Callithrix jacchus: one gene and its partners. The protein of the gene in region 2 interacts with the protein of the main gene of each other region in a pairwise test. Links are inferred from orthologs where the notes say so. Each region holds a gene or a part of one and is shown on either strand. Other genes may lie near its edges.

The links.
Region 1: the proteins of RBM17 (region 2) and PPP1R12C interact in binary tests that used the Homo sapiens proteins (3 or more experiments, as listed by UniProt). The two-hybrid records come from large-scale screens. The link is inferred for Callithrix jacchus from reciprocal best matches to the Homo sapiens genes RBM17 and PPP1R12C.
Region 3: the proteins of RBM17 (region 2) and QRICH1 interact in binary tests that used the Homo sapiens proteins (3 or more experiments, as listed by UniProt). The two-hybrid records come from large-scale screens. The link is inferred for Callithrix jacchus from reciprocal best matches to the Homo sapiens genes RBM17 and QRICH1.

What each region holds. Positions count from the first base shown.
Region 1 is NC_133523.1:47,965,830-47,969,478, forward strand, and holds part of PPP1R12C (protein phosphatase 1 regulatory subunit 12C), read right to left. Parts: intron 2,488-3,649; coding exon 2,328-2,487; intron 665-2,327; coding exon of another isoform or gene 580-664; intron 1-579. UniProt on the Homo sapiens protein: Regulates myosin phosphatase activity.
Region 2 is NC_133508.1:7,684,970-7,688,618, reverse strand, and holds part of RBM17 (splicing factor 45), read left to right. Parts: intron 1-105; coding exon 106-162; intron 163-1,453; coding exon 1,454-1,595; intron 1,596-3,649. UniProt on the Homo sapiens protein: Splice factor that binds to the single-stranded 3'AG at the exon/intron border and promotes its utilization in the second catalytic step. Involved in the regulation of alternative splicing and the utilization of cryptic splice sites.
Region 3 is NC_133516.1:31,687,007-31,690,655, reverse strand, and holds part of QRICH1 (transcriptional regulator QRICH1), read left to right. Parts: intron 1-973; coding exon 974-2,005; intron 2,006-3,649. UniProt on the Homo sapiens protein: Transcriptional regulator that acts as a mediator of the integrated stress response (ISR) through transcriptional control of protein homeostasis under conditions of ER stress.

The DNA of each region.
Region 1 (3,649 bases), on a different chromosome or scaffold from region 2:
CAAAATTCCATCTCAAAAACAAAAATTAATAAATGTAGTCAATAGAGCTGAGTGTAAACATGCACCCTTACAAGGGAGCAGTAATGAAATTACAGTCAGCAAATACTTCTAAGTCCAAAGTACTTCAGTGCTACCCACCCAGGCCACCAGCTGGACACAGTCACCCCCGGCCAGACACAGGCCGCCCAGCTGAAGGCCAATCTCCTACTGTCCCTTGCAGCCGGGAGAGGTCACGTGACTAGGATCTGGCACATAGGGTGATGACGTTAGTGGTGCAGTGCCACTTGAGGACTGCTCTCTTAGAACGATGGGTGTTTGCTCCCTTTGCCCTCCCTCTTCCTGCTGGCTGGGATGCAGGTGCAATAGCAGGAGATGAAGCAGCCCCCCAGGACTGAGGGGTGGAAGCCATGGGAGGAAAAGGGCATAGCCTCCAGGCCTGGGCACGTCACTGGGCCCAACCACGTAGCATTTCCAGTCCTTTTGTGGTAAGGATCATCTCAGGGAGGGACACAGCACCGACACAGCCTCTGAGCAACAGAGCTGGGACTCAGGCCAGACACAGAGGCCCAGGCACTCTACCTCAGCAGCAGGTGTTAAGCAGAAGGGACGGCCTGGAGCTGTTACAGGCATCTGAAGTACCTCACTGAGACAACCAGATGAAAAACTGTCAATGCAGAGGTGAGCAGAGAGGGGAGGAATTCATGTTAACTTCATTTTTATGCTGAAGTGTAAGATCACAAAAGAGAGAGGAGGGAGGCCGGGCGCGGTGGCTCACACCTGTAATCCCAGCACTTTGGGAAGCCGAGGCAGGTGTATCACAAGGTCAAGAGATCGAGACCATCCTGGTCAACATGGTGAAACCCTGTCTCTACTAAAAATACAAAAAATTAGCTGGGCACGGTGGCGCGTGCCTGTAATCCCAGCTACTCCGGAGGCTGAGGCAGAATTGCTTGAACCCAGGAGGCGGTGGTTGCGGTGAGCTGAGATCACGCCATTGCACTCCAGCCTGGGTAACAACAGCAAAAACTCCATCTCAAAAAAAAAGAGAGAGAGAGAGAGAGAGAGGAGGGAACTGATAAAAGAATGAGGAACCTGAGCATGAGAACTGGAACCAACAACTTTAACGGAAAGGGGAAGGCAGCCAAATAGGAGCAAGTAAGACCCGAGACTGAGGTGAGGCTGACACAGAGAGTATGGAAGAAAATTTAAACTGTGTATGCTGCTTGGATGGGCGCAGTGGCTCACGCCTGTAGTCCCAGCACTTTGGGAGGCGGAGGCTGGTGGATCACCTGAGGTCAGGAGTTCAAGACCAACCCGGCCAACGTGGAGAAACCACGACTCTACTAAAAATAGAAAAGTTAGCCGGGCTGGTGGCGTACTCTCATAGTCTCAGCTATTGGGGAGGCTGAGGCAGGAGAATCGCTCGAACTCAAGGGGCAAAAGTTGCATTAAGCTATGATCACACCACTGCACTCCAACCTAGGTGACAGAGAGCGAGACTCCACCTCAAAAATAAATAAACACAAATAACTATATATGCACCAAATAATACATATACAAAGTGTAACTGACAGAACTACAAGAAGAAACACGCAAAGTCCATAATCACAGCAAGAATTTAAAATATCACTACAGATAAAACAGCGTGATTATAAGGTTGATGTAATAACCTACAGAGAACACTGTACTTGATGACACCATTCTTTTCCAAATTGCATATACTGGGGCATAAGATAAAACAAATTTCAAAAGGTAGAATCATATAGAAGCCATTCTCTGACCATGGTGTAATTAAGCCAGAAAAACAGTAACACAACGGTGACTAAGGAAGTCCTATATATTTGGAAATTATGCCGAGCACAGTGGCTCACACCTGCAGTCCCAGCACTTTGGGAGTAGGTGAATCACTTCAGCCCAGGTGTTCTAGACAAGCCTAGGCAACATGTCAAAACCCTATCTCTACAAAAATTAATGGGGCATGTTTGTGTGTGCCTGTAGCCCCCACTATTCAGGAGGCTGAGGTAGGAAGATCACCTGAGCCTGGGGAGTTGGAGGCTGCAGTGAGCCACAACTGCACCACTGCACTCCAGCCTGGGCAACATACCAAGACCTCGTCTCAAAATAAATAAATAAGAAAAGATTACAAATTGGGAAATATTTTACAGTGAATGACAATAAAAAAGATTGCCACATCAAAACTTGTGGGTACAGCTAAGGCTGTACTTAGAGGGAAATACATAGCCTTAGGTACATACATTGAAAAAGAAAGGGACAAGATCCACAGGAAGGTATAAGACAGCAGGATGGAACAGACAGGCCCAACTTACCTCATCACCTCAATGTAGCCCTTGGCAGCGGCCACGTGCAGGGCAGAGGCGCCTGTGCGGGGGTGCCGGGCCTCTGGCATGGCGCCCCCATTCAGCCAGCACCTTGTGTCATGAAGCAGCAACTCCTCTTCTGCACGCTTGGCTGCCTCCACGTCCACACCTAGGAGGATAAGAGGTATTAGGTAGGACTCACACCCCATGACCTGGAAGACCCAGGGTTATACCCTGGGCTGGCCGGGGTTGAGCCCTGTGACTTGCTGACTCCTTCTCCCCCTGCTCCCCTGTGAGACTCAGGAGGCCTAGACTCGCCCAGCTGTTTCCCAGCTGTGCTCCATGCAGTCCTGGGTCCCACTCAGGGTCCCACTCAGGGTCTCTGAGTCAGCACTAAGCACAGGGAAAATGGAGATCACAGGCCTTTTCCACTTCAACCAGAAATTCACCTTCTTTTTATTATTTTTAATAAAAAGCTAAAGTTTACTGAGCAAATCCAGTGTTCAATTACATCTAACTTTTCCTATCACTACCAATTTTTTTTTTTTTTTTGAAACAGAGTCTCACTCTGTCACCCAGCCTGGAGTCCAGGGGTTCAATCTCAGTGCAACTGCTGCCTCCCAGATTCAAGAGATCCACCCAAGTAGCTGAGATTACACACATACGTCACCACGGCCGGCTAATTTTGGTATTTTTGGTATAGGCAGGGCTGCACCACAATTTTGGTTGGGCAGGCTGGTCAAACTCCTGACCTCAGGTGGTCTACCCGCCTCAGCCTCCCAAAGTGTGTTGGCATTACAGGCGTGAGCCACCATGCCTGCCCAATATCATCTCAATCTAGCATCTTCATACATTTTATTACCATCACTACTTTTCTCACTCATGACAATAAACCAAGCGAAAGCCACCACATGAAGTACTTGTGCCATTAGGGCAACAGCTTCTTTCCTACCCAGGCGTTTGATCCCTGTTTGCAAACGTGCTAACACCTACAGCAATCTGGGAAAAGCACGCTTCCTAACTAGTCCGATTCATTTAATCCCGTTGCTGTACTGTATTATAGATGTAAAAGACAAGTAATGGCCAAAATTAAATATAAGTTGACTTTGGATCAAAACAGGTGCCCTTGCTGAGGCGGAAGTCCTTATCTACTGGTGGCCACTGAGGATCCTTACTCTTTTGCAAACTATAAACTTTTTTTTTTTTTTAGATGGACTTTCACTGCAACCTCCACCCCCAGGGTTCAAGCGATTCTCCTGCCTCGGCCTCCCAAGTAGCTGGGACTACAGGCACCCACCATCACATCCAGCTAATTTTTGTATTTTTAGTAG
Region 2 (3,649 bases):
TTTGTTTTTTAGTTTTTTCTAAGGGGCAGGTGATATATGGTGTCATTGTCGTTGGGAGTCTGGCATCAGAAACCTCCTTTAATGCTTGGATTTGTGTTTTTGCAGGTATGGGCGGAGCTGCCATTGCCCCACCCACTTCTCTGGTAGAGAAAGACAAAGAGTGTAAGTAGATCTGTTTCTTCCTCTTTTATTCTGATACAGATCTTTAAGCAAATCATGTGGAATCTCAGCTTGGGCCCCCAGGTTTGCTGAGTGTAGACGGAAATGGCCTGCCTGCTGCCTGCCTGCCTGCCTGCCTGCCTACCTACCTACCTACCTACCTACCTACCTACCTACCTACCTGAGTGCACATGGATCTCAGAATGCAGTGCCCTCCTGCAGAGACCTTTTTATGCCAGGCTCTGGATAAAAAGAGTGGGATCCATGTCTTTTTTATGCAATTCACTTTGTTTTCATTAACATTTCTTATTTGTTGTTAGATTCATTTGGAGTTAAAACAGTGTAGATCATTTACAGTTTTTGAACTCAGGGGTTTACAGGCTGTTATATTCATGGCCCTCCACAAGGTGGCAGTGCCTTCCTTGATTAGATTTTTTTTCTTCCCTTAGCTTCCCTTTCAGTGCAGGTCGGTGTCCCTGTCATTGCATTGCCAAAACACCCTCATCCACTGTTCCTTCTTGCAGTGATCTGCTCTAAAATTCTGAGGTTGGAATTGGACTTCTGAATATCATCTAGGTCATTTTCCCATTCTCTGGATTGGACCATACCTAAACTATCCCAAGCAGATACTCTGATTTATAGTACTTTCTAAAACTTGTTGCATTATTTCTCTTTTAAAGAAGATGCTTTCTAAAATATTATGAAATATCTGTTATGTGAACACAACCGACAAACAATAAACCCCAATTGAAAGCAGTCTCTGGGAGTGGGGCCCAGGCATCTGGATGGTCTTAAAGCTTCTTGCTGACTTTCATGTAACTAGAGTTGATGCCACCACTGGCCGCTAACCTCAGAGACCTTTGTGGGCCATGAGGCTGATGGTATAGTGAGGTTAGGGTCTAGACAGGTGCACAAGGTGCTGCGGGAGTCAAAAGATGGCCAGATTGTATCTCCGTGGGCCATTCAGAAGCTCTTGCCACAAGAATATTCATTCAAGATTTTAAAGGGTAAATAACATTTCAATAAGATATAAAAAGGGTGCTTTTGCTATTTCTATCTCCTATTTGAGGAGATAGAAATAGCAAAAGCAAAGTTAGAATCAGGAAAGTAGTGTTCTCCCTCTTCTTTAAAAAAAAAAAAAAGTCACGTAAAGGCTGTAAAGTTGATTTGTTGTTTTTCTCCTTGTGGTAAACCAGAAAAATAGGTTGAATTTTTTCAAGATAAGTAATTGATAGAAGTGAGATTTCAAAGTGTTTTCTATGGTATTTTGGTGAGCCTACTTTTGCTCCAATAGTACCCCGAGATTTTCCTTATGAAGAGGACTCAAGACCTCGATCACAGTCTTCCAAAGCTGCCATTCCTCCCCCTATGTATGAAGAACAAGACAGACCGAGATCTCCAACTGGGCCTAGCAACTCCTTCCTCGCTAACATGGGGTAACGATTTAATGTTCTAATCTAAGAACTTGAGAAACAGTGCGAAGCGTTGCCAGCTCTTTCAGTAGATGCAACTTGTTTGAAACTAAGGACATTCAGGCTGTGGGAGACTCTTGGTGTGTGGGGTCACACAGTGCCTGCCTCAGTCACATGGAGCGTGTTCCAGTGTAATGATGGGGCTTGTTCACAACAACAAGCCTTCGAGTAGAAGGTTTGATTCATTTTGATTTTGATGATCATCTCTAGACAGACACAGAACCTGATAACTGTTTACATTTGCCTTCATAACATTTGCAAATAAATTAGCTTATATGAATCAGCTGACGTAGTGTCTCCAAAAGGGTTGGTGATACCTTTTTTCCTGATAAAGTGGGCCATCTGCTTTAAGGTCACGGTTCTAAACCTTGGATCTAAAAAACTCAGGTTCATTCTAACTACAAGTAGACGTTTGTTTGCCCCCATATAAAAGTTTACTGTAAGATTGATGTTCAGGTGAGGCTTGTGGATTTTTTTTTTTAAAACCGTTCTGGGCTTGGCAAACATTTTGGTTAAGAGGATGTTCTGTGCTGTTGACTTTGATCCTGTGAAGCAGCTGTTCTGTGAAGCGGCATCACACGAAGGCTTTGTTCTATGCTGTGTTGTGTCTGCCAGATGCTGCCTGTAGCAGAAATGTAGCCGGTGAGACAGCTGAATGTAGTTTAAACTCACTAGTCTCTTTTCAAGTGCTCAGTGACCACATCCAAGTGGTGACCATGTTGGATGGTGCAGACATAGTACATGGCCATGGCCGCAGGAAGGTTTGTGTGCTGGAGGGTTGGACAGACACAAAGCTGGTTTTGATTTTGGTTTTGTTTTTCCTGTTTATGATAAAAATTGACTTTTTGCTGAATTTGCTTTTAACCAGGAACACATCTTTAACTTGTGTTTAGGAAAGATGCAAGGTGGTACCATTCAGGAGTTTTTGGTCTTTTTAGCCCTAGAATAGCTTGTTCAAATGAAAATTTTAAGGGAATTAAATACAAGAAGTAATGTAGGTGCAGTTCCAGTTGAAGCGGGTTTTGTGGCTTAAGCCCTAAGCAGCAGTGGTCATGAGGTTGGGGTGCCCTTCAGACCCATGACCACCTCACAGTGCAGTGTGAGAGCCATCTGGTTGTTAGAGAAAGCAGTGACCTGAGAATTGTGGAGTCTAATTTCAGCTCTTCTGCTAACAGCTGTACAGATAATTTTTTTTTTATTATTTGAGATGGAGTCTTGTTCTGTCACCCCTGAGTGCAGTGGTGCGATCTTGGCTCACTGCAGCCTCTGCCTCCGGGGTTCAAGCAATTCTTCAGCCTCAGCCTGCCAAGTAGCTGGGATTACAGGTGCATGCCATCATGCCTGGTTAATTTTTACATTTTTAGTAGAGCTGAGGTTTCACCGTGTTGGTCAGGCTGGTCATGAACTTCTCACCTCAGGTGATCTACCTGCCTAGGCTTCTCAAAATGCTGGGATTATAAGCGTGAGCCATTGTGCCTGGCCTGTACAAATAATTTCGAAGTGTGGCATCTTGCTTTACTTGTAGTCCACCCCTTAAGCTAGTCAGCTAATCTTAGCCTCCGTTTCTTTATTTCTCATTTGTTAAATAGGTGATCTCTAAGGGTTTTTTCATTTGTATAGTCTGTCATTAGAAAGTCTCCTGTGCTATTCAGGAAAATTGAATTGTGTTCATTATATGAAACTTCATACTTATTTTTTGATGGCCACTTTTTAATAAACTGTGGTCATAAACTATGTGGCAGTACAGATCTGGAGCACACAAAAGATCTTGTGTTTCCTAGTGGGGCACTGAGTAGACTCCACCAGAGAAACTGGCATTTCTCCTTCAAGATAACAGGATATTCTGGATTTTAGTCATAGCTTTTTCTATTTCTTTTGTGCTGCACATCCCCACAGCTTCCGTCTAATAGCCCACTCCTAGATAATGCGTGACTTTGTGGAAGCCCCTGTGGAGTATGCAGTGTCTCCAGAAGGAGGTTGTTGTTAGGTAAAAATGCAACCTATCTCCAGTTGACAAT
Region 3 (3,649 bases), on a different chromosome or scaffold from region 2:
ACAGATCACAAAGTTGAGAGTTTGAGACCAGCCTATCCAACATAGTGAAACCCTGTTTCTACTAAAAATACAAAAAAATTAGTCAGGTGTGGCATGAGTCTGCAGTCCCAGTTACTCGGGAGGCTGAGGTGGGAGAATCACTTGAACCTAGGAGGCAGAGGTTGCAGTGAGCCAAGACTGCGCTATTCCACTCCAGCCTATGTAACAGAGTAAGACTCCGTCTCAAAAAACAGAACCAAATTTTTGTTTCTGGTTTTTGTTTTTGTTTTTTTTTCGAGATGGAGTCTTACTCTGTTGCCCAGGCTGGAGTGCAACGGCGCGATATCCACTTACTGCAACCTCTGCTTCCCTGGATCAAGCATTCTGCCTCAGCCTCCTGAGTAGCTGGTATTATAGGTACAAGCCACCATGCCTAGCTAACTTTTTTGTATTTTCAGTAGAGATGGGGTTTTACCATGTTGGTCAGGCTGGATCCTGACCTTGTGATCTGCCCACCTTGGCTTCCCAAAGTGCTGGGATTACAGGCATGAGCCACTGTGCCCAGCCCGTATTTTCTTATTAGACCCCAGCATGTCTGTAATCCCAGCTATACAGGAGGCTTGAGGCAGGAGAATGGCTAGAACTCGGGAGGTGGAGGTTGCAGTGAGCTGAGATCACGCCACTGCATTCCAGCCTGAATGCAACAGAGCAACTCTGTCTCAAAAAAAAAAAAAAAAAAAAAGTTTTTATATTTCCTTTTTAGACCCCAGTTAATTATTGTGCTTTCTGTGGTGGATATATGTCAATGTGATTGTAATGTGATGCTGGATAATTCTGCATTTAGTTTTGCATATTGTGGCCTCCTCAAAAGCCTTGCATATGCCAGTGTTTTCTCACATTGTGCAGGGCCGTTGTGTGGGATCTCTTTCTTTCCTTGGGTGCTGGACTTTCAGTGATGGCTGGTTCACTCACTGATGAATCTTGTTGCTTACAGGTCCAGGTGCAGGTACAGCAGTCTCCGCAACAGGTCTCGGCTCAGCAGCTTTCCCCACAACTCACCGTTCACCAGCCTGCTGAGCAACCCATCCAGGTCCAGGTGCAGATCCAAGGCCAGGCACCACAGTCAGCAGCCCCCTCCATTCAGACCCCGTCTCTGCAGAGTCCCAGTCCCTCGCAGCTGCAAGCAGCTCAGATCCAGGTGCAGCACGTGCAAGCGGCCCAGCAGATCCAGGCTGCAGAAATCCCGGAGGAGCACATCCCACATCAGCAAATCCAGGCTCAGCTGGTGGCTGGCCAGTCTCTTGCTGGTGGTCAGCAGATCCAAATCCAGACCGTGGGTGCCCTTTCCCCACCACCATCCCAGCAGGGCTCACCCCGGGAAGGGGAGCGGCGGGTTGGCACAGCCAGTGTCCTCCAGCCAGTGAAGAAGCGCAAAGTGGACATGCCCATCACTGTGTCCTACGCCATCTCAGGGCAGCCGGTGGCCACCGTGCTGGCCATTCCACAGGGCCAGCAGCAGAGTTATGTGTCTTTGAGGCCAGACTTGCTGACAGTAGACAGTGCCCACCTGTACAGTGCCACTGGGACCATTACTAGCCCTACAGGAGAAACCTGGACCATCCCTGTTTATTCTGCCCAGCCCCGGGGGGACCCTCAGCAGCAGAGCATTACCCACATTGCCATTCCCCAGGAAGCCTACAACGCAGTTCATGTCAGTGGCTCACCCACGGCCCTGGCAGCTGTAAAGCTGGAGGATGACAAGGAGAAGATGGTGGGCACCACATCTGTAGTAAAAAACTCCCATGAAGAGGTAGTGCAGACCCTTGCAAACTCTCTCTTTCCAGCACAGTTCATGAATGGCAACATCCACATTCCAGTGGCTGTGCAGGCTGTGGCAGGCACGTACCAGAATACGGCTCAAACTGTCCATATATGGGACCCCCAACAGCAGCCGCAGCAGCAAACTCCCCAGGAACAGACGCCACCACCACAGCAACAGCAGCAGCAGCTCCAAGTTACTTGTTCAGTAAGTGAAGACTTACCAGGAGGACAGGCAGTCTGTTCCCTCAGGGCCCAGTGCAGCACAGAGCTTGCCTGGTAACCTCTGGCTTCTTTACTGCTATTAGTTTTACAGTGATACAGTATTTAATATTTGGGAGAAGAGGGCGAGAAACAGCAGGCTATACAACAGGAAAAAGGTTTATCCTGGTACCTAGAGGTAAATGAGATGGCCAGGAATTGCTTTGGAGTTTTGGAGAGGTTTTGGGTTTAGGTATTATGGACACTTCTTTGTAATTTTTTCTCAGGAAGAGTAAAGTTACAGGTATAGATGAATGGGACACCCAAAGTGTGTCCCAGGAGCTGCTTCCTTGTATCATAAGTAAATGGTTCTAGCAAAACACTTGTAGTTTATCAATAGATTACAAACTCATCATTGGAGAAGCTGTGAGATTGTTCTGTTTTTCATCTTTGGGCACACAGTGTGGGTGAATTAGAAAATCTGAAATACCTCTTAATGAGCCTGTTAAAAGTGATCACTGTTGGGAATCTTGAATATGCCACCTATGTGGTAGGACCTCCCAAGAGTGTTACTGTGTTACTTGAAAACAGGCCAGGCCCAGTGGCCACACATGTAATCCTAGCACTTTGGGAGGCTGAGGCGGGCAAATCACCTGAGGTCAGGAGTTTGAGACCATCTTGGTCAACATGGTCAAACCCCGTCTCTTCTAAAAATATAAAAATTAGCCAGGTGTGGTGGTGCATGCCTGTAATCCCAGCTACTCGGGAGGCTGAAGCAGGAGAATTGCTTGAACCCAGGAGGCGGGAGATTGTGATGAGCCAAGGTTGAGGTGAGCCAAGATCACACCACTGCACTCTAACCTGGGGCAACAGAGCAAGATTCTGTCTCAAAACAAACAAAACCTATTAGTGCTGGGTTCTGTGACAGTTGCCTATAATCCCAGCAGTTTGGGAGGCTAAGGTGGGAGGATTCCTTTAGCCCAAGAGTTTGAGATCAGCCTGGGCAATATAGGGAGACCCTATCTGCAAAAAATTAAAAAATATACTCGAGTGTGGTGGCATACACCTGTGGTCCCAGCTTAGATGGGAGGATTGAGCCTGGGAGGTTGAGGCTGCTATGATCATGCAACTGCATTTCAGCCTGGAGGAAAGAGTGAGACCTTGTCTAACAAAAAACAATTGGTGGAATATCTGGTCCCATTAGAGTGGGATATAGGGCCTCTGGTCTTATGGGACTGATGAAGGTGGTGTGCCTCAGTGGGCAAAGGCTCCTGGGAATGCATGTGTGGGAGCTGGCACAAACAAGTTAGATAAGGGACTACACTTAGAAACACGGGCTCTAAGTGATTAAGCAAAGGTTGACCAGGTGTTTTCATAGAGGCAACATTTTATTATCCTAAGTGATATTAAGGACCTGCTAAATATGTAGCTGTTGGGCCTAGAAATAGAACAAGACAAGAGTTTTTGCTTCATACAGCTAAGAGTTGTGAAAGTCAGACTTGATTTCTATTCCTTTAAATTATTTATAAGGCAGAATATTTATGACATACAAAGACAAACTGGGAATTTAGAAACTCTAGGTTAAAAAGGAAACAGCGGTGTCTTTGTGGACAAAATGGGGTTTGAACTGTAGTTAATTTATTTTTGAGAC